2 linked regions of the Rattus norvegicus genome follow. The protein of the gene in region 1 interacts with the protein of each later gene in a pairwise test. Links are inferred from orthologs where the notes say so. Each region holds a gene or a part of one and is shown in the gene's direction. Other genes may lie near its edges.

Region 1 (11,116 bases):
AGCAGACCCAAAAACCAAATATATGGTTTACAAGAAGGCCCTATGACAGGGTGCTTTCCACGATCCAAAGAAAAGGCCGCACAGCCACTCCTCTTGGAAGAAGCATGTCGGGGTTGGGGATTTAGCTCAGTGGTAGAGCGCTTGCCTAGCAAGCGCAAGGCCCTGGGTTCAGTCCCCAGCTCCGGGAAAAAAAAAAAAAGAAAGAAAGAAAGAAAAGGAAGAAGCATATCAGTGAGCTTGGCATGGAGAGAGGGACTAGAGCGTCAGGTGTGTTTGTGGCAATTGGTCCCCCTCGCTTCCATGTTCAGGCACAAAGCAGATATAGAATGAACTAGCATTCTCAAACGGTGGTGTTTAAAAATGCTGCTGTTAAGTTGGGCAGTGGTGGCGCATGCCTTTAATTCTAGCACTCTGGAGGCAGAGGCAGTCGGATCTCTGAGTTCCAGGCCAGCCTGGTCTACAGGGCTACACAGAGAAACCCTGTCTGTGGGGAAGGAGGGGAGAGGGGATCGGCTCCTCTTTGCTAGACTGGTTTGGGACTAAGAGCAGCAGGGTCAAGAACTTGCTTCTCTCCCTTTATAAGTCTCCAAATTGGAGGGCAAGCCACACTCACACTTAGCAGGCTAAAGCCAGTGTGCTGAATCTGAATCTGCCTGAGAGGTTGGGAGAGTTTGCAGTTGGGAGCCCATAGCATTAGGGTGACGGAGCAGAGGGTAGCCATTGATATCAGCATTCAGTGGGCACATCAGGCACGTCTTCAAGTCTCACATCATCCAAGTACAAATGACAGCAGCATTGTTCTGGAATATGGGCTGAGCGGAGTTTGTTTTTTTTTTTTAAGTGTACATGCAGATAGAGCATTCACAGACATAAAATAAATAAATCTGTTTTTAAAAGTGTTATGCCAGGAGCAATGACACACCTTTATTTTAACCCTAGCACTCAGGAGGCAGAGGCAGGCAGAGCTCTGTGAGGCCAAGCCAGCCAGGGCTACATATTGAGACCCTGTCTTTACAAAATTAGCATAGACTTATTACAGAAATCTTTGAAAAAAAAAGACTCAAAGTTAAAAGTTGTTTTTTAGAGGTAGACTTGGCTAACTTGGAACTCACTATGTAGATCAGCTTGACCTCAAGCCAGAGAGATCTGTTGCCTTTACTTCCTGAGGGCCTGTATTAAAGGCATATGCCACCATATCTGGCTAAAGTGGAAGTTCTTACCTTACTCCAAATACCCATCAAGGGGAGGGGACAGTGAGATGGTTCAGTAGGTAAAGACAGGCCTGATGGCCTGAGCCATTCCCTAGAATCAGCCTGGTAGAAGGACAGAATCAATTCTTTTTTTTTCTTTTCTTCTCTTTTCTTTTCTTTTTTTTCCGGAGCTGGGGACCGAACCCAGGGTCTTGCACTTGCTAGGCAAGCGCTCTACCACTGAGCTAAATCCCCAACCCCCAGAATCAATTCTTGCAAGGTGTCTTCTGATCTCCACACTCATGCCATGCACATGGGCCCTCATGAAAACATGCCTGTGTGCACATGCACACCCACACCCAAATAAATCTAAATCTAAATAAGAACCAAACCCCGTGAGGGATCAGGCACCCCAGTGACCACGAAAGATGGATGAGTGGCTGAGGTGGAGAGGTTAGGCTAGGAATGGAAGGGAGTAGACTTAGCAGTTGTAGGGAAATCAGGCAGAAGGAGAAGGGATGATTTCTGAATGGGGGGTGGGGATCATTTGGAATACTCAGGGCTTGGCTTTTGGCTAGAAGGAGGTAGAGAGTGTGTGGCAAACACACCACCAAGGCTACTCACCAAAACACTGGGAGTAGAGTTCCCTGCGCACAGGGCAGATGCCCGTCTCCCTGGCCTGCCTCTGCTGCAGCTTCAGGTCCAGCTGCTCCTGGAGATGCACCACATCCATTCTGGTGCTGGGTGTGCTGGACACCTGCTGGATCCATAGCTGTGTGTCTTCTACCCACTCCCTGTGACACAGATACAAGCCACCAGACCTGAGCAGAGGGCCCTTGGAACTCTGCCTGGGCAGGAGCAGGGAGTGGGGGTGGGCAGCATAGCCATCCTGTCACTTCTGCCTCCCTCTCTTTCCTGAGCCACGTCCACTATGCAGCCTCCACAGGACACATACCTTACTGTTGGGCAGATGGGCACTCTCTATTCTCCACGAGACTACAACCCTCTGCTCCAGGTCATACCTGCCTAGCATGTTGAGGACAGATGTGTGGTCATGCTGCTTGATTTGAATGGAGAATGTGGTGGAAACCCCCCTACACTGGCTTATGGTGAAGACACAGAACACCATAAACCTCGTGCAAGCCACTAGGAAGCATTTGTGTATGTTGGGAGTATGGAGGTTCTTAAAGTGCTGCACTTGCAATGGCTGCCCATGATGAATTCTGTGCTGGAGGAACAGCCGAGTTCTGCAATGACGGGCTTGCAGGCAGAATGGCAAGAGAGGGAGAAGCTTCTATGTTGGTGGGAGAGAATCCACTCATACGTGACACCTCTCTCTCTCGGCCTCCATCTCTGGAGAAGTTCACAGGTTCTCTGGTTCTTTTAATCCAAGAGAAAGCTTTTTTGTTGTGGACATAAATAAGCCCATTAGGCGGAGGTTTCTGAGAGTTCTAGCGAGGCTGTGTAGCCCAGGTTAGCTTCAAACTCTTCCTGCCTCTGCCTCCTGGGTTCTGGTATTAAAGGTGAGCTCACTGGGCCTAGCCTTATTGAACATTTACGGGCTTTTGAGACACACTTTGTTATGTAGCACTGGCCAGTCTAGTACTCCTTCTGTAGTCCAGGCTGGCCTTGACTTTGAGGCAATCCTCCTGTGTCTTGCAGAGTGCTGGGATTAAACTCTCTATGAGGAATCTTGATGGAGATACCAAAGAAACAGAGTATCGGGAAGGGGGTTTAGGAGGAACAGGTCTGAGCTAAGAAGACCCAACTGTGAAAGCAGACATCTAAAGTCACGAGAGTGCTCAGAACGTGGAGGGCATGGTTTTAGAGGGTGCCTGCCTGGCTATGAGCATCCAGCCATATGAGACTCCATGAACTCCAGAAAGCTTAGGGGAAATCCAAGGTAAAACACAGGGAGACACCTATGTTCTGGGGCCAAGAGCTTAAACCTTCTCCCAGTCATCCCTCTCTCTCTACCTTGGAGGCAGGATGGCATTCAAGATTTCTTCTGCTTGTTTGGTAGGATCTGGGACACAGGAAGTTGAGGGCAGCTTGGCCTTGGGTGGTTGTGGGCCTGCACCAGAGGGTCCAGGCTGCTGAACTGTGACTTTCAGTGGCCGAGCCTAAGAAGAAACAGGTGAGTCAGTCCAGTCCCTCCAGATTTGCCTCAGTCTCTTGTCGAGCTTTCCCCATTTCCGGCCTATTTCCCTCATCTGTGGTCTCTAAATAAACAGGAGCGCAGAAGACCACGAGGGATATGTCTGGCTCTGTCCCTGTATTTGAACTGGTGTTTCTAGAATGGTGGTAAGGCCTCTGCTCTGACTGTGTAGACATAGGTAAGTCACAACCAGACCTGTTCTTGGACCTCACTACCACAAGCCTCATCTTTTCCATGTGACTTCTTTCTCATCTTAAATTTGTCCTCTAGGGTCACAGTTAGGCTTCTTGTAGTCTTCTCCCAACCTCCATCCTTGTCCAAGTTCCCTTGGCTGTCAGCCCTAGCAATCTGTCTCCTGAAATTCCAGAGATCCTCAAACCTGGGATGTCTTTCCCCACGGGATTTTGTAGGATCTCGCATTTCCTGAGACATGTTCATACCTTGGGGCTCCGTTTTTCTGTATTCCGGCTCACCAACACCGGGGTGTCATATTTGAGCAGAGAGTCTGCGGGGGGTATCATGGTGGCTGTAGGGGTTGCAACTCCGTAGCGGTCCCTCCGGGTGGAGCCTTGTTTGCGATCACCATGGAAACCCCTCCGCTCCTTGCCCCATGGACGGGGCGGGGCTTCGGAGGAAGGCGGTGCCCGGCCGCGTGCAAGTTTTGTCCTACTGTGCTTTCTCCACCAGCACTAAACTTCTTGGTAAACAAGATTGGAGCCCTAGCGTTAGGTCTAATTCGGGATGTGATGAAATGGACAGACCACCTTTGCTTGAAACGAAAGTCATTTATAGTATTTGGCGACGATTGGCACTTGGAAGCCAGAGGCTGGCGGATCTCTGTGAGTTCCAGGACAGCCAAGGCTATATAGAGACACTATCTCAAGAAACAAAAAAGAATTTCACAGTGTTGAGTACGTGTCTGTGTTTCATAACTACTAAGAACGCGCAACGAACAGAGCTGGATTAGCTTTCCCACATAAGATTTTTTCTTTTTTGTTTTAAAGCTGGGTGATGGTACCATACACCTTTAATGACAGCATTCGGGAGCCAGAGGCAGGCAGATCTCTGTTAATTCAAGGTCAGCCTGGTTACAGAGTGAGTTCTAGGACAGACAGGATTAAACAGAAACCCTGTCTCGAGAAAAAAAAATTGTCACTTTTTGAAGTCCTGGGGGTTAATCCAGGGCTTCGTACACGCGAGGTAAACGCTCACTCTGTCTCAGCCTTCACTCCCCTTCTAACTGATTTGTATTTGGCAGTGCTGAGGATGAATCCAGGGCTTTGCGCTACACGAGCTGCAACTTTTCCAAAATTTGAGACAGAGTCTCACTAAATTGCCTAGGCTGGCCTCGAATTTACTGCGATCGGAGGCTGGTCGTAACTTTTCAGTATTCCAGCCACACCTCTCCAGCAGCCAGGACCCCAGTGCCACTAGCCCGGGGATTCCCAGGGTGTGAACTCAAGCACTGGGCCCCGCCCACCAGGGGGGCCCGACACCGTGAGGGCTTCTGGGATAGCGTGCTGCCCGGAAGCGGAAGTGCAAAGCGGTCCGTCACTTCCTTTGGCTCAAGTGGCTCAACGGACTGTGCAAGTGACTCTCGGCCGGGCCGCAGGATGAAAGCGGGGAAGAGCGAGCGGGAGCGAAGCAGCCGGCGGCGACACCGGTCAGGCGACGCTTTGGCGACCGTAGTAGTGAAGCAGGAACGTCTAAGCCCCGAACCCGTCGCACACCGCCGACCTGACGCTCCAGCCGCTAGCCCGCCCCCGCCCGCCGCCGAGTCGGGCTCGGCTGGTCACCGCGGGAGCCGAGCCCGGGGAGCGAGCCGGTAAGCAGGCCGCGGACGGGATGGCGCGGGGACCGGGTGGTGCGAGCGACTCGGGAGTGCAAAGCACCTTTTGAGTTGAAATGAGATTCCCCCGCCTGCCCACGAGCGGACGGTGGGAATGTCTTTTCCACTCTACCTACAAAGAGTATTTCACGGTGGGTCTTGGCGACTTCTTCTCGGCACTCATTCGCCGATGCCTCCATAAAGCATCGATTTACTGAGTGCGTAGTGTGGCTTAACGATCAATTAAGGTACTGGGTCACAAGGCAAAGAAGAGAGATGCTTTTACAACTTGGCGAAATTGGGCATGCTCTAACCCTAAGGAAAATAACAGATAATTTCAGTTAGTGTTAAAGACAAATTAAAACTGTAATATGGTAGCGAGAGGTTGGGTAGAAAGAAGTGAGGACTTCTACAGAGGTGATCTTTAAGCTGAGACCGATATGATTGATCCATTCTCTTTTGAAGAATCCAGGAAGAACCCAGTGTGGTGGGCATGCTTTGTAACACAGCAATGGAGACCATAAGTTAGGAGGATCCTGAGCTTGTACACACACACAGACACACACACACACACACACACACACACACACACACACACACACACAGAGAGAGAGAGAGAGAGAGAGAGAGAGAGAGAGAGAGAGAAATATATGCACAGAACTTGAATTGGAATTCTGTTTGTTTTAAAGGTTGAACAACAACAGCAACAATAAAAAAACCAAAAATGAAACAGGCAGCATATCTGGAATTGAGTGATGGAGCAGCATTGTAGGCTGGTAGAAATGATGTGGGATGGAGGACAGGGCGGGGCCCTTAGACCTGCTAAGGGGTTGGATGTGGTTGTTAGAGAAGGAAATATGTGAGGGAAAAAAACAGGCTAGATTGACTTCCTGGATAGTAGTGCCAATTAGGATGACAGACTGGGAAAGAAAGGTTTCTAAGGCTTTGGGGTTCATTAGGTTGTCTAAGTGAGGAGGCTTAGCAGGCAGTTGTGTATGTGGCTGGGAGAAGTGTTTATTGAAGGTAAAGGCCTGCCGTGGCTACAGAGTCCACACGTGTGCTGTGTTTAGGAGGTGAGCCTCATACTGGAAGCTAACTTATGTGGGGGAAGGGCCATTGAGGTAAAAATCCTGTGTATCATGCTCTGAAAAGGTCCCCAGCCAAAAAGAAAAGCAAGTCCTCCGGCAGAAGAAGCAAGTCTCCTCGGACTAAGAGAAGCCGGAGTCCCCACTACTCCACGGTCAAAGTGAAGCAGGTGAGTTGAGTGGGCAGGAACCTTGGATGGGAAACTCAAGTCCAGAGCTGTTGCCGGACCTGAAGAGGTTGCAGCCATGGTGTGTAGACATGTTTCATTGTCCCTGCAGTGAGCTTTTCTAAAAACCAGATATGTATTTGGGGCTGTCTTTCCTGAAATCTTAGCATTTGGAAGCAATGGTTGATTTGATTCAGAAATAATACAGAGTGGGAAACATGTCCACATTTCTCCCAGCGGTAACTTCTCACACACCCGTGGACAGTGTCTTGGTCAGGACACATTTACTGCCATCAGGATGCCTCCGATGTTCTTCAGTGACTCGTTCTCCGCCTTTATTCTTCCTTTCCCCCTGCCCAGCCGCTTCTCTCTCAGTTCCTGGATGCAACCTGTCTTTAGGTTTGAAGACTGTCTGTGGTGCTGTTTAAACCAGCACAGATGGTCACAGATGGTTGGGCCTGCGAGTGCCCATGTGCTGCAGTACCATTTTTTCAAAGGACATTGGTTTTCTCCATTGGATTATTTTACTTCCACATTGAAACTCAGGTATATGTCTATCTGGCCAATCGCATGCAGACTTGATTGCCGCATTTACATAGTAAGTCTCGAAACTGAATGCCCTCTTTGCTGCATTGGTGTGAGGGTTTCAGAAGCCCTAGAACTAGAGTGAGCTGCCATGTGGGTGCTAGGAATTGAACCCAGGTCCTCTGGAAAAAGCAGTCAGTGCTCTTGACTAGTGAACCATCTCTCCACACTACCCTCTTTTTTTTCCCCTTGTCTATATATCTATGTAAATGTTAGAATTTGTGTGTGTGCATGTGTGTGACAGAGACAGATCTTTTAAAAAATAAATTTTTTGCATGTGTATGAGTGCTTTCCCTGCCCACACGTATGTGTACGTACTGTGTGTGTGTCTGGTGCCCATACCAGACAGGTCCAGAAAAGGGTACCAGATTCTCTAGAACTTGAGTTAAGATTGGCTGCAAGCCACCTTAGGTGCTAGGAACTGACCCAGCTCTTCTGGAAGGAGAGAAAGTGCTTTTAACTGCAGAGTTGACTTCCAGTTCCCCTAGTAACGTCTCACAAGAAGCAGGTGTGGTGGTGTGTGCATATAATTCTGCACTGAGGCAAGAAGATCACAAGTTCAATACTGTTGTTTTTTTTTTTTTTTTTTTTTTTTTTTTCCGGAGCTGGGGTCAATACTGGTTTTAAAAGATTACTGAGGGAGGCTGGAGAGATGGCTCAGGGTTAAGAGCACTGACTGCTCTTCCAGAGGTCTGAGTTCAATTCCCAGCAACCACATGGTGGCTCACAACCATCTGTAATGGGATCCGAATCCTCCTTCTGGCGTGTCTGAAGACAGCTACAGTGTACTCGTGCTCATATACATAAAGTAAATATAAAAATGAATCTTTAAAAAAAATATTACAAAGAAGCTTTCTCAAAAGTAAAAAGGGCAGGGGTTGGGGATTTAGCTCAGTGGTAGAGCTCTTGCCTAGCAAGCGCAAGGCCCTGGGTTTGGTCCCCAGCTCCGGAAAAAAAAAAAAAAAAAAAAGTAAAAAGGGCTGGGGATAAAATTTAGAGTAAGTGCTTGTTTCCAGCCCCGCATCCTAGTCCCATTACCATTATGTGTGTATGCATATTGATGGAATATTAGCCTTAAAAGGAAGAAAATTCTGACACGTGCTACAAAATGTCTGAATCCTGATGACTTGCTTAATAAACCAGGGGGGAAAAGCATGATTTTGTAGTTGAGACAGGGTATCTCCTGCTAATTAGGCCCAGTTAGCCTGAAACTTGCTTGGTAGCACAGGCAGGCCTAGAACTCTTGATGATTCTCCTGCCTCAGTCTCCTGAGTGCTGATATTAAAGGTGTACCATCAACTGAACTCCACCAGAGGAGTGCATGCAAGCCTGTGTGTCCCTTTGGAGACAGGGTCTCATTCTCATTCTCTTAACTTCTAGAGACCCACCCACCTCTGACTCCTGAGGGCTGGGATTAGAGGTGTGCAGTCCCTTCTCTCTTGACAGGAATTGCTAATCTGAGAGAATTCCTACTTCTGTTAGCATTGGTACTGTGGTTATTAGAAGAAGCTCCCCTTCAGAGTCAGGCTAAGTGTTGGCTTCTTCTGGAAACTGCTTTGCACTTGGAGCTGTCACCTTACTGACTGACTTCTTATCCATCTATTGCTGCTGTTTTACAAAACAAGGTCTCTGTGTAGCCCTGGCTAACTCTGTACACAAGGCTGGCCTCAAACTCAAAGAGCTCTGCCTCCGCCTCCTGAGTACTGGGATTAAAGGTGTGCGCCACTGTGCTCATTGATCTACTGACTGTGTATTGCTGTTTGTGCGACGTTGATTTTCAGTATGTGCCTCCATTTTGTTAGAAATTTGGAAACTGCCAAGTAGTACTTTCTTGTAGGTTTCTTGAAGTGTTCGTGTTTCTTAGGTTTATCCATAGATGTTTGAATCATTTCTGTAATTGCTGAAGTTGAACCTTTTGAGATTATTTCAATCTCCTTTTGGCCTGTGAGGAAGTTAACTTTTCCCTTTATATATCTTACATGTGACTGTTCTGTTTTCTATACCTGCTACCCTGTGAGTTTGCCTGCAGGTGATTGAGAGAGGTATTTCTCCTTGTGGTAGGGTCTGGATGTGGGTTTGAGGAAGAGTATGGAATATGAAGTCTAAAGGCCCTTCAGGGGAAAGAACCACACTGATAGCCTTGTGTGGATAGGAATTTGTTCTGAATCCAGGCCACAGATGTGCTGTTGTTGTTTGAAATTGTTTAGCATATGCATGTCTGTACACCACATAATGTAGTGCCCACACTTACCACAAGAGGGCATTGGATTCTCTTGGAACTGTAGTTGTAGATGGTTGTGAACAGCTTTGTGGGTGTTGGGAAGTAAACATGGGTCCTCTGGAAGAGCAGTCAGTGCTCTTAATTGCTGAACTATCTCTCCAGTTCCTGCAGCTTGTTCACAGAGAAAGGGATGCTATCTTTCCCTTACTGAATCCCATCTGAATTTCAGGAACGGGAGGACCATCCACGGAGAGGACGAGAGGATAGGCAGCACCGGGAGTTATCAGAACAGGAGCACAGGAGAGCACGGAACAGCGAGCGAGATCGGCACCGGGGCCATGCCCGCCAAAGGAGGAGCTCTGATGAGAGGCCTGTCAGTGGGCAGGGTCGGGATAGAGACAGCCAGATCCTGCAGGCCCAGGAAGAAGAGAGGGACTTTAATAATGCCAGGCGCCGGGAGCACCGCCAGCAGAATGAGAGTGCTGGCGCTGAGGCTCAGGAGGTGATCCCTCGCCCTGCTGGTAACAAGAACAAAGAGGTGCCTGTTAAAGAAAAACCAAGCTTTGAACTTTCTGGGGCACTTCTTGAGGACACTAATACCTTCCGGGGTGTGGTCATTAAATACAGTGAGCCCCCAGAAGCCCGCATCCCCAAAAAACGGTGGCGTCTCTACCCCTTTAAAAATGATGAGGTGCTTCCAGTCATGTACATCCATCGGCAGAGTGCGTACCTGCTGGGGAGACATCGCCGCATCGCGGACATTCCTATCGACCATCCCTCTTGCTCAAAGCAACATGCAGTCTTCCAGTACCGGTAGGTAGACCAGAGGGAGGACTGGAAAGGGAGATGGGTGAACATCTCACTTAGCTTTCCTAAGGCTGACTGGCTGTGTGGAAATGCTGCTGAACCCATTACCCCTGGTCCAGTGAGCTGGACTGAAGGAGTACTGTAAGTCTTAACAACCTGTGGGTGATCTCCGGACATTTGTATGAGCGGCTTGAGTGTGATGTCAGAAATCCAGATATTAGCCTACCATTGTGTGGCAGTGTAGACCTGTAATCCTGGCTCTCGGGAGGCTAAGCAGGATTGGTGGTGTATATCCTCCTCTAGGTGTGGGTTATGTTCCATGACCCCATCTCTAAACAAACAAATAAATGATAGGAAGAAAGAGAAATTAAAAAGACTCCTGCTGCGGTCCTGTCCTGTCTCCACCTGCCCCCAGGGCTTTCTGAGGACCAAATAGAAATAAGTAAAGGCCAGAGTCTGGATGCCAGATAAATGCTAGCAGAATCTGCTGTTTGGGAATGCATCTTTACCATTTGATACTCAACCTGTGAGGAAAGCGGTTCAGTGGTAACATCCTTATCTAACAGGAGAGAAAACTGCAGCTCAGTACAGAAAGCAATCTTAGAGCAAAACTCTGTCCACATCTAGCCCTTGGCTCTCAGTTCCTAATTCTGTTTTCCCTTCATTCGGGCTGGTGCTGAAATCATGTGCAGTGTTGGAGAAAGTCTTTGCGTAAATAGCAAGAAGCCTCGAGTTCTGCACTGGGACCTCTGTGGCCCTCCATCGCCATCTACCAGCCACAGTCAGCTTTGCCTTTTCTCCTTGTTATGTAAAGTGCTCTAAACTTCCTTATCAGCGCAGCACTTCCCTGTGATGTCCTAGAGTTTTCGTTTGAATCCTGTTCAAGCCAGGCCACTGATGTGTAAATCTGTAGCAGAGAGCTTTAAAGAAGGTAGGTGGTCTCTGGTAGGACATGGCTCACACACTTCTCTCCTTGGTCTCTCCTAGGCTTGTGGAGTACACCCGTGCTGATGGGACGGTTGGTCGGAGGGTGAAGCCCTACATCATTGACCTTGGCTCAGGCAACGGAACATTC
Region 2 (10,607 bases), on another chromosome or scaffold:
AGGAATCTTGCTAGTGCTCTAAGTTACCCCTTTTTCTTTTATGCTCATCTATTTTTTACACACATGCATGTGTGTGTGCATGGTGCATAGATATGTGAAGGGGACAGGTAGGGTCGTGCTCCAGGATGCTTCAGAGGACGGCTTTTGGAAGTTGTTTCTCTCCTTTCATTGTCTGGATCTCAGGGTTGAAGTGGAGTCGTTAGTCTTGCGATAAGCACCGTTATCCTCAGACCTCAACTGCCACTAAATTAATTGCCCCCTTTAAATGAGCTGATAGTGTTGAACTTAGACCATTAGAGTTTGAATATTAAAAGTTTACAGAAATGAATTCAGACGACTGTATGTAAATTGTCTACAAAAGTGCAAATTATATTATTATTCCTGGTGAAATTTGCCACTTTGGAATGTGTGTTTGCTCATAAAAAATAACTTTCTTTTCCATTGATTTTCCTCAGGCTGCCTTACGTCAGATTACTGATAAAGCTCGAGAATTTGGAGCTGGACCACTGTTTAACCAGATTCTGCCTCTATTGATGTCCCCTACACTTGAGGATCAAGAGCGACATTTACTTGTGAAAGTTATTGACAGAATATTGTATAAACTTGATGACTTGGTGCGGCCATATGTGCACAAGGTTGGTTTGTTCTCTAGTGTTGAATGGTTTCACTTTTATTTTTCTGGTTCTATTTTGCACTGTGTGGAATATGGAAGTTGTTATTCTCGTGTGTGTGTGTGTGTGTGTGTGTGTGTGTGTGTGTGTGTGTGTGTGTGTGTGTGTGTGTGTAGCCCTGGCTGACCTAGAACTTGTTCTGTAGTCCAGGTTGCCCTTTTGAACTCAGTTCCACCTGCCTCTGCCTCCTGAGTGCAGATTAAAGGAATGTGTCACTACTGCCAGAGAATTAAAACTCTTTAATCTATTTCTCCATTAACAAATGTCTTTGATAAATTGATGTGGAAATGTAATTCTTTCTTTTTCCTTCATTCAGATTCTTGTGGTTATCGAGCCACTGTTGATTGATGAAGATTACTATGCTAGAGTGGAAGGCCGAGAAATTATTTCTAATTTGGCAAAGGTATTCACATTAAATTCCTAGAAAAGGAAGTTTGTCTTTCCATGGGTTGAGGATTAATGGTACTAACTAAAGCTGCTGTTGTAACTTTTCCTTTTAGGCTGCTGGTCTGGCTACTATGATTTCTACCATGAGACCTGATATAGATAACATGGATGAATATGTCCGAAACACAACAGCTAGAGCTTTTGCTGTTGTAGCCTCTGCTCTGGGCATTCCTTCTTTATTGCCTTTCTTGAAAGCTGTGTGTAAAAGCAAGAAGTCTTGGCAAGCGAGGCACACTGGTATTAAGATTGTACAACAGATAGCCATTCTCATGGGCTGTGCTATCTTGCCACATCTCAGAAGTTTAGTTGAAATCATTGAGCATGGTAAGTGGTGATGTGTCGTTTATAGATCAGCTGTCCTGATAGGGGCAGGTGTATATGTAAAATAAATGAAAGGCTTTCCTCACACAAACATTATATTTAGAAATGGGGTTTGTAATATTTTCTGTTAACAAATTGCCTTTGTCTAAATTATATGTACTGCAAAATAAATTACTGCAGTTTGGATACATGGTTCCATACATTGCTAACATTTGGATTGCATTGTGAAAATGGTCTGGGTACCTATTCATAACCGTCTGATTGTATAGGTCTCGTGGATGAGCAGCAGAAAGTTCGGACCATCAGTGCTCTGGCCATTGCTGCTTTGGCTGAGGCAGCAACTCCTTATGGTATTGAGTCTTTTGATTCTGTGCTCAAGCCCCTATGGAAGGGTATTCGCCAACATAGAGGAAAGGTAATCTGCGCATTAGATCTGTTTCTGTTGCTAGTCATTAAGATAACCCAAAATTAATGTACTGATATGTGTATATGTATATATTTTACTTTTAAATAGGGTCTGGCTGCTTTCTTGAAGGCTATTGGGTATCTTATTCCTCTTATGGATGCAGAATATGCCAACTACTATACTAGAGAAGTGATGCTAATCCTTATTCGAGAATTCCAGTCTCCTGATGAAGAAATGAAGAAAATTGTTTTGAAGGTAAGGAATTAGTAGTTCAGTTTGTGGGCACATGTTTGTTAGCACACTGTGCATGTGTTAGGAAGTTCAAAGAGATCTTTATAACAAAACAAAACAAAACAAAACAAATCTATGTTTCACACTATAAAAGTTATTGCAGTTTGGATACATGGTTCAATACATTGCTAACATTTGGATTGCATTGTGAAAATGGTCTGGGTACCTACTCATAACTGAGTCTGATTGTGTAGGTCTCGTGGGTGAGCAGCAGTTGTGTTTGTCAGTGCTGCATTTGATTTCTTTTTTAATCTTTTAGGTGGTGAAACAGTGTTGTGGAACTGATGGTGTAGAGGCAAACTACATTAAGACAGAGATTCTTCCACCTTTCTTTAAACACTTCTGGCAGCACAGAATGGCTTTGGATAGAAGAAATTACCGACAGGTGACCTTTAGTATTATAATTTGATTCTCTTTTGATTGTCTTTTTGACAATTTCTTTACCTGCTTAAAATGCATATTACATACTGTAATTTGCTTTTGACTATCTTTTTTTTAAAAGATTTACTTATTTATTATATATGAGTACACTGTAACTGTCTTCAGACACACCAGGAGAGGGAATCCGATCTTATTACGTGAGCCACCATGTGGTTGCTGGGATTTGAACTCTGAACTTCTGGAAGAGCAGTCAGTGCTCTTAACCGCTGAGCCATCTCTCCAGCCCTGCTTTTGACTATCTTAAAATTTATACTTACATATACTTTACTGTGACCAGAGATGGAATTTTTAATTTTAAGCCCATTCTTTCTGTTTGATTTGTCTTTTGTCTGAGATAGGGTCTCACAAAGATTTCTCTACTAGAAATCCCACTGTAGAACTCAAACTGACAGTTCCATCTGCTGCTCCCTTCCATGTCCTGGGATTAAAGGTGTGCCTGGCCACACCTGGCCTCTTAAAATCTTTGTTTGTTGTCCTTTTTTTTTTTAAGATTTATTATTTTATATATAAGTACACTGTTTTCAGACACACCAGAGGAGGGCATCGAATCCTATTACAGATGGTTGTGAGCCACCATGTGGTTGCTGGGAACTGAACTCAGGACCTCTGGAAGAGCAGACAACAGTACTCTTTTTTTTTTTTTTTTTTTTGGTTCTTTTTTTTCCGGAGCTGGGGACCGAACCCAGGGCCTTGCGCTTCCTAGGTAAGCGCTGTACCACTGAGCTAAATCCCCAGCCCCGACAACAGTACTCTCCCCCCCTCCCCCCCCCCAAGAGCTGGGGACCGACGGCTGGGGACCGAACCCAGGGCCTTGCGCTTCCTAGGCAAGCGCTTTACCACTGAGTAAATCCCCAGCCCCTGACAACAGTACTCTTAACCACTGAGCCATCTTTCCAGCCGCATCTCTCCCCCAACCCCTCCCCCTCTTTTTTTTTTTTTTCTTTTTTCTTTTTCTTTTCTTTTTTTCCGGAGCTGGGAACTGAACCCAGGGCCTTGCGCTTGCTAGGCAAGCGCTCTACCACTGAGCTAAATCCCCAACTCCCCAACCCCCCTTTTTAAAGCATACATTTAATGTAAAATTTTGATTAATTAGTACATTTGAAACTTTTATGTTTTTAGTTTTTATGTGTATTGGTGTTTTGCTTAATGTGTATCTGTGTACCATTTTGTGTGTGTCATGCCTGCAGAGGCTAGGTCATCAGATCTGGTTTTGGAGTTATAGTTAGAAGCCACCATGTGGCTTGGGTCCTCTGGGAAGAACCCAACCTCCACCCCCAGTTCTCTAACTGCTGAGCCTTTTGTTGAGCCCAACCTGTGTATATGTTTATATTATGTTTAAACTACACTCATTTACTTGGTCTGTATATATGCCCTGGGGCATGCATGTGTGAAGAGGGTTAGAGAGCAGAGAGCAGGGGGTTATCAGATTTGTTGGCAAGTGCCTTTTACCTCAAAGGTTTGACCCCTCTCTACAGCCCTGTTTGCTTGTTTGTTTGTTTCTTTCTTTCCTTTTTTTTTTTTTTTTTGACAAAATTTTACTTTGTAGCATAAGCTGGTCTCAAATCTTCGTCTCTCTACCTCACCCTCCCATCTCAGCAGTACTAAACTGTAAGTCGATGGTTTTATCTGGTAAATTGAAGCTTTAGCTAGCTGAAACAAGCATAGTTTGAATTGTTTTGTTTTGGAGATAGAATCTTAAGTTTTGAGCTGGCCTGGACCTTGATATCTAATCTCCATCCAGACTGGCATTGAATGTGAAACATCTGCTTCAGTCTTTTGAGAGTCGGGGTCATAGGCATGAACCAGCATATCTAGGTGCTCTCATACTGAAAGCTTAGTAAGCTTTATTTCCTTGGAAAAGTAATGATTTGAAGGGTTTTGTTTTGTCTTTTAGTTAGTCGATACAACTGTGGAGTTGGCAAACAAAGTGGGCGCGGCAGAGATCATATCTAGGATTGTTGACGATCTGAAGGATGAGGCTGAGCAGTACCGGAAAATGGTGATGGAAACCATTGAGAAAATTATGGGCAATCTAGGTGCAGCGGATATTGACCATAAACTTGAGGAACAGCTTATCGATGGCATTCTCTATGCTTTCCAAGAACAGACTACGGAGGTAAGGGCAGCCAACCACATGTGTGGGTGAAAATGAGAGATTTGGGGGTCAGTTGTCTCCTTGCACTACGTGTTTCCTGGGGAATGGGCATCAGGCTTGGAAGAAGGCACTTTCCCAGCTGACATCACCCTAACAAACTTAATTATTGTGGCATTTTGATTGACTTTCATATATGTAGAAAACCTACTTTTTACAGCAGATAGCCCTTAAAAGACATTTTAATGACCAATTTTCCTCAGTTTAACAAATGTTCTTTTTACCTTTGATTTTTTTGGTTTGATTTAAAAACAATTGGGATGTTTGGGTGGTTGGAAAAGGTTAGATGTTATTTAACAATGAACTTTTGGTTAAAACTAAATTCTATATTTTTAGTGATTTTTGTTTTTGTTATTCTAAATATAACTTAACTGTTCTCTTTTAGGATTCAGTAATGCTGAATGGCTTTGGCACAGTAGTCAATGCTCTTGGCAAACGAGTCAAACCATACTTGCCTCAGATCTGTGGTACAGTTTTATGGCGTTTGAATAATAAATCAGCAAAAGTTAGGCAACAAGCAGCTGACTTGATTTCTCGAACTGCTGTTGTCATGAAGACTTGTCAAGAGGTAATCTTTTCTACTAGATGAATCTTTTTTGAACAAGTGGCTTAATGGAAAAGTAACATCTTTAATGTTTCTTTTATTTAGGAAAAACTGATGGGGCACTTGGGTGTGGTGCTGTATGAGTATCTGGGTGAAGAGTACCCTGAAGTATTGGGCAGCATTCTTGGAGCACTGAAGGCTATTGTAAATGTAATAGGTATGGAATTTGCTAGCCATGTGAGGGTTTGGCCTTTTAATTTTCTTTGTGTTTTGAAAACAAAATATAAAGTTGTATTTAGGAGTTTGTTTTTTAATCTTCTTTTCTTGAGCACTTTAGGATTGTCAGAATGTCACAAAAATCTCACTCATTATTGTCTATTTATAGTTTACCTAGAAATGTTAAAGGAGGGCTGGAGAGATGGCTCAGTGGTTAAGAGCACTGACTGCTCTTCCAGAGGTCATGAGTTCAATTCCCAGCAACCACATGGTGGCTCACAACCATTTGTAATGAGATCAGGTGCTCTCTTCTGGCCTGTAGTCACATATGCAGGCAGAATGCTGTACATAAAATAAATAAATCTTTAAAAAAAAAAAAAGAAATGTTAAAGGCGAAATTTAGTACAGAAATTTAAAGTACAGAAATAGTTATAGCCCAAAATGTTTTGAGTTAATGGGAGAGAAGGCCCTAATAGAACTAGTACATCAGCTAAAAAATAATCTAGGATTTTCTATAAGGGAAGGCGCAGTCCTGAGGGTGCAGTTTTAGAAATTTTTTTTTTTTTTTTTTTTTGGTCCTTTTTTTCGGAGCTGGGGACGAACCCAGGGCCTTGCACTTCCTAGGCAAGCGCTCTACTACTGAGCTAAATCCCCAACCCCTAGAAATTTTCTTTATCTACTCTCCTATGTTTAGGTCTTTTGACTGGTTGTTGAGTTTTTTTGTTTTTTTTGTTTTTGTTTTTGTTTTTTTTTTTTTGTTTACTATGAGTTCAAAGAACTCATACTTTTAAACCATACTTGGTTAAAAAGAGTTATCTGTCTTGTCTTTTATCTGTAATTAAAAACACAAAGGACTGTTGCGTTGTGCAGTATTATTAGAAAAGGGGCACAACCGGTTCCTGAGCGTCATTGCTCCATGCTGGGCCCCTGGTGCTCTCAAACCCAGGAGGTCACTCCCTGGTGTTAGTTCTTGCACTGTAGGGCCATATAACTAACCTTAATTTATCTCAGCGGCGGCTGGCTTCAGTGCGGCAGCACGCCATGTTAACCTAGCTATCTTCTGGCCCCAGCGGTCTCTCCACTCCCATTGCTAGTCACCCTGGCCAGCTCAGAACTCTGGTCCCAGATACCTGGCAACATCAAGACTCAACAAACTGTAACCCAAAAACCAGATTTATATGTTAAATACTCAATGTACAATACATCCACACAATTAACTTACAACCAGTTGATGAGGATGTGAACAGCCCACCTACATAAGATAAATTTGCCTATAGAAATCTACCCCAGCTACCTTGGCAATTGAGGACTACCAGGATCTGGGTCATCCTTCCCAGTCTCCATTTTGATTCTCCCTCTACCTCCTTCTCTCCCTCCCTATAAAAACTTTGTCCCCATCTTATTCTTTTACTGTCCAATCATGGCCTTGATCTGACTCGTGCCAGCCCTCACCTGCCTAATGGCATCAATCTACACAGGACAGTCTCCGGTATGGAGAGACAACTTTTGTTTTCAAGGAATTATGATGAAGGAAACAAAAGGATTTCTGTGTTTAATTGTGTTTACACATAGTGTTGAAACTATGTTTAGGACTGAAAGGGGTGGAAAAGGCTAAGAGTTCATTATAACTGACTGCTGATAATCACCATTTTCCCCCTTTTGGGGAAAGGAATAAGGACTATTATGCAGTATAGAGCTTTGAACTGTTGTATTTATATAGAACCCCCAATATAGCCCAGATTTATACAGACAATGACTTGCCAAACAGTCTTACTCACTCGTGGTTCTCTGATTTGCCAGAATTATAGACTATATTGTTTGTCTAGCAAAGCAGTGGAGAATCAGAGCAAATAATTCTAGTTAGATCAAGAGTGCCTACTAGCTGCCTCTTTCTCTCTTCATAGATCTAATAAATAACACCTAGGTGTGCCCTGCATTTCAGGGAGACTGGAGGTCTGTTTAATTTTGCAGTTACAGGGTATAGGGACCCTTACTGATTTGATCTGATCTAACTTTGGCTTCTGTTGCTATATTTGGCCACAACATAGGCTGTTCCCATATTTAAAAGTAAGTTTACAAATAACATTTCATAAAATCTTTCTATTACTGAGTAACCCTCATTTTTAAAATCACTTTACTGATTTCTTCTTTTTTTTTTTTTTTTTTTTTTGGGGTTTTTTTTTTTTTTTTTCGGAGCTGGGGACCGAACCCAGGGCCTTGCGCTTCCTAGGCAAGCGCTCTACCACTGAGCTAAATCCCCAACCCGATTTCTTTGATTTCTAAATGTAACTAGAAGCTGTTAATATTTTTAAGAATTCTAAGTCCAATTAGAATCTGGAGCTTTTTTATCCACCGGTAGCTTATGAGTTCATATTTTTGCATTGTACTGTAAAAGGAAAAATGAAAGACTGCAATTCAGGTTTTAATAGTTCCTTGATTTCTGTCAAATAGGTATGCATAAGATGACACCACCAATTAAAGATCTGTTGCCTAGACTCACCCCCATCTTAAAGAACAGACATGAAAAAGTACAAGAGAATTGTATTGATCTTGTTGGGCGTATTGCTGACAGGTAAGAAGATTACATAGCAACACCAAGTACATATTTAGCTCTCAAGTATAGACAGTATTTAGATTTAGCAAGATTTCACTTTAAGTGGTAATAGGAAATAGCAGTGTGGGTGTCTTCCTCCCTTACCCTGACTCCCCAAACAGGGTTTCTCTGTGTATCTTTGGCTGTCCTGGATCTCACTCTATAGACCAGTCTGTCTGTAAACAGAGCTACCAGCCTCTGCCTCCCTCCCGAATGTTGGGATTAAAGGCGCAGTATAGTTGTAAAACAAAGTCAGGCTTGCTTTCTTTTCTCTTCTTTTGAGACAAGGTCTGACCGTATCCTTGGCTGGCTTGGAACGCACTATATAGACCAGGTTTGAACTTCGATATGCTTTCTAAGTGCTGCTGAGATTAAAGCTGTATGGCACCACTTAACAAGTCAACCTATTTAAAAGGGTGATAGTAGTTTTCACTTAATATTTAAGATGAGTTAGTGATGATTTCAGAGTTGAATATGCATATTTACTTTGTAAACTTTGATTAGGGTAGGAGGTGCAGATTGGTAGTAGAACGATTTGGCATTCATGGGCCCTGGGCTTCATCCCCAACACTGCAAAAACAAACATCAAAATACCTTGATAACAACCATGTTAATTCATTAATTGCATTTTTTATTTCTTTTAATTTAGGGGAGCTGAGTATGTATCTGCAAGAGAGTGGATGAGGATTTGCTTTGAACTTTTAGAGCTTTTAAAAGCTCACAAAAAAGCTATTCGAAGAGCTACAGTCAATACATTTGGTTATATCGCAAAGGCTATTGGGTGAGTTGTGTTTTTAGTAGGTTATAGTAAACCTATTGATTGGTGTTCGAAAGTACTTCCATGTAGACATCTTTTGAGGCAGAGTATAGTTAGTCATTTGAAGAAAAAGCATTTTATTTAAACACTGACCTGCCTTTTCCTATTTAAAAATATTTTCTTAAATTTTTGATTGAACTCTGAAGGCTTTAAAATTTACCCTAGAGAAGAATAGATATTTTCAGAGGCACATTCAAGTTTTTGTTGGTCTTCTTTAGGATATTGCTTTTTTTTTTTGAGATGGGGTTTATCCATGTAATCTTGGCTGTCCATGGAACTTGGTATGTAATAGACAGACGAGGCTGGCCTCTTAGCTCTTAGCCTGTTTCTGCCTCCCTAGTGCTGAGATTAAAAACATATCAAGAGCATGTACTATCAAACCTGGCTGGAATATTGCTTAAAATAGTAAGGAGTGAGTATTCTGCAGTCTTCTAGTTTCCACAGACTCGTTGTCAGATTGGAATTTGGAATTAGATGGTTGAGAATTGCCGTGTGGGTGCTGAAAATCATCCCAGGCTCTCTGGAAGAGCACTGATCCATGCATCCAGCCCCCCTTTTAAAATTTTTTTTTTCTTTAATGGTTTTTATCTTCATTTGTGTATGTGAGGGTTGTCAGAAGCCCTGGAATTGGAATTGCACCAAGTGCCATCTACCATGTGGGTGCTGGGAATTGAACCTAGTTCAACATATAATATTTCTATATAATTCATATCTTATATTCATTTTCTGTTTTTTTAAAACTGCATTGTTCCAAGACTAATTCATAGATTCATTTGCTTTATGAATTCATTTATGGTTATTTGCTTCATCAGAACTTACCTGAGAGAAGCAGTTATAATTGTAGAAAAAGAGACTACCCATGTGTATTTTTCCAGTGTTCTGATTAGCTTCAGCTGTAAACTGGACACAGCCCAGAGTCACCTTAGACAAGGAATTGCACAGATCACATGGCCTGTGACCATGGTTGTGAAAAGTTGATTCATGTGGATAGTTATAGATAAGAAAGCAAGTTGAGCATGAGCCTACAAGTAAGCCAGTAAGCACCATGCCTGCGTGATTTGTGTTTCAGTTTCTCTTTGGCTCTCTGCCCTGACTTCCCTCAGCAGTATATATACTGTGACCTGAACATAGAAGCTAAGATAGTGGCTGGAGAGATTGCTCTGCTCTTAACAGGTTCTGAGTTCAATTCCCACAACCACATGGTGGCTCACAACCATCTATAATGGGATCTGATTCCGTCTGGCACACAGGTGTATAAGCAGATAGAGCACTTACTTATTTAAACTAAAATAATGAATAAATCTTTTTTTAAAGAAGCTGAAATAAACCCTTTCTTTCTCACATTTCTCACAACTGGGAAGTAATTTCCTAAAACATACCAAAGTCTGTTAAGTTAGGTAACATTCCTTCAGGATAGATACACATCCCTTCATTTCTTGGGAATAGAACTGTTTGTGTCTGTGGTGGTCTGATTGTAAAACAAGTTGCAAATAAGATACAGTAGCCCTAATGTCTCTAAGTGTTAGTACAGGGGTATGTAAAAGCTGGTAGGAGGCAGCCAGAACCAGGTAGGGTGATTGTGCTTAAGGTAACCATGGGCGTGGGGTAATGGGTAGATTGAGGAACAGATTGTATGTGTTTGAGCTAGGAGTCCAGAGTTTTGGATATTCTATCTATAAGGCTGCCTGGCTCTGGAGACCATTTAGAT

The links.
Region 2: the proteins of Snip1 (region 1) and Sf3b1 interact in a two-hybrid assay, tested with the Homo sapiens proteins (2 studies listed by BioGRID and IntAct). The link is inferred for Rattus norvegicus from reciprocal best matches to the Homo sapiens genes SNIP1 and SF3B1.

What each region holds. Positions count from the first base shown.
Region 1 is NC_086023.1:142,608,100-142,619,215, forward strand, and holds the start of Snip1 (smad nuclear interacting protein 1), read left to right. Parts: upstream 1-4,928; 5' UTR 4,929-4,961; coding exon 4,962-5,173; intron 5,174-6,328; coding exon 6,329-6,431; intron 6,432-9,463; coding exon 9,464-10,047; intron 10,048-11,028; coding exon 11,029-11,116. Other genes in the region: Dnali1 (axonemal dynein light intermediate polypeptide 1), read right to left, coding at 1,815-1,984, 3,168-3,313, 3,789-3,869. UniProt on the Homo sapiens protein: Required for pre-mRNA splicing as component of the spliceosome. As a component of the minor spliceosome, involved in the splicing of U12-type introns in pre-mRNAs. Down-regulates NF-kappa-B signaling by competing with RELA for CREBBP/EP300 binding.
Region 2 is NC_086027.1:63,990,971-64,001,577, reverse strand, and holds part of Sf3b1 (splicing factor 3B subunit 1), read left to right. Parts: intron 1-455; coding exon 456-635; intron 636-987; coding exon 988-1,074; intron 1,075-1,171; coding exon 1,172-1,442; intron 1,443-1,708; coding exon 1,709-1,854; intron 1,855-1,953; coding exon 1,954-2,100; intron 2,101-2,395; coding exon 2,396-2,521; intron 2,522-4,471; coding exon 4,472-4,693; intron 4,694-5,114; coding exon 5,115-5,297; intron 5,298-5,378; coding exon 5,379-5,490; intron 5,491-7,940; coding exon 7,941-8,061; intron 8,062-8,731; coding exon 8,732-8,863; intron 8,864-10,607. UniProt on the Homo sapiens protein: Component of the 17S U2 SnRNP complex of the spliceosome, a large ribonucleoprotein complex that removes introns from transcribed pre-mRNAs.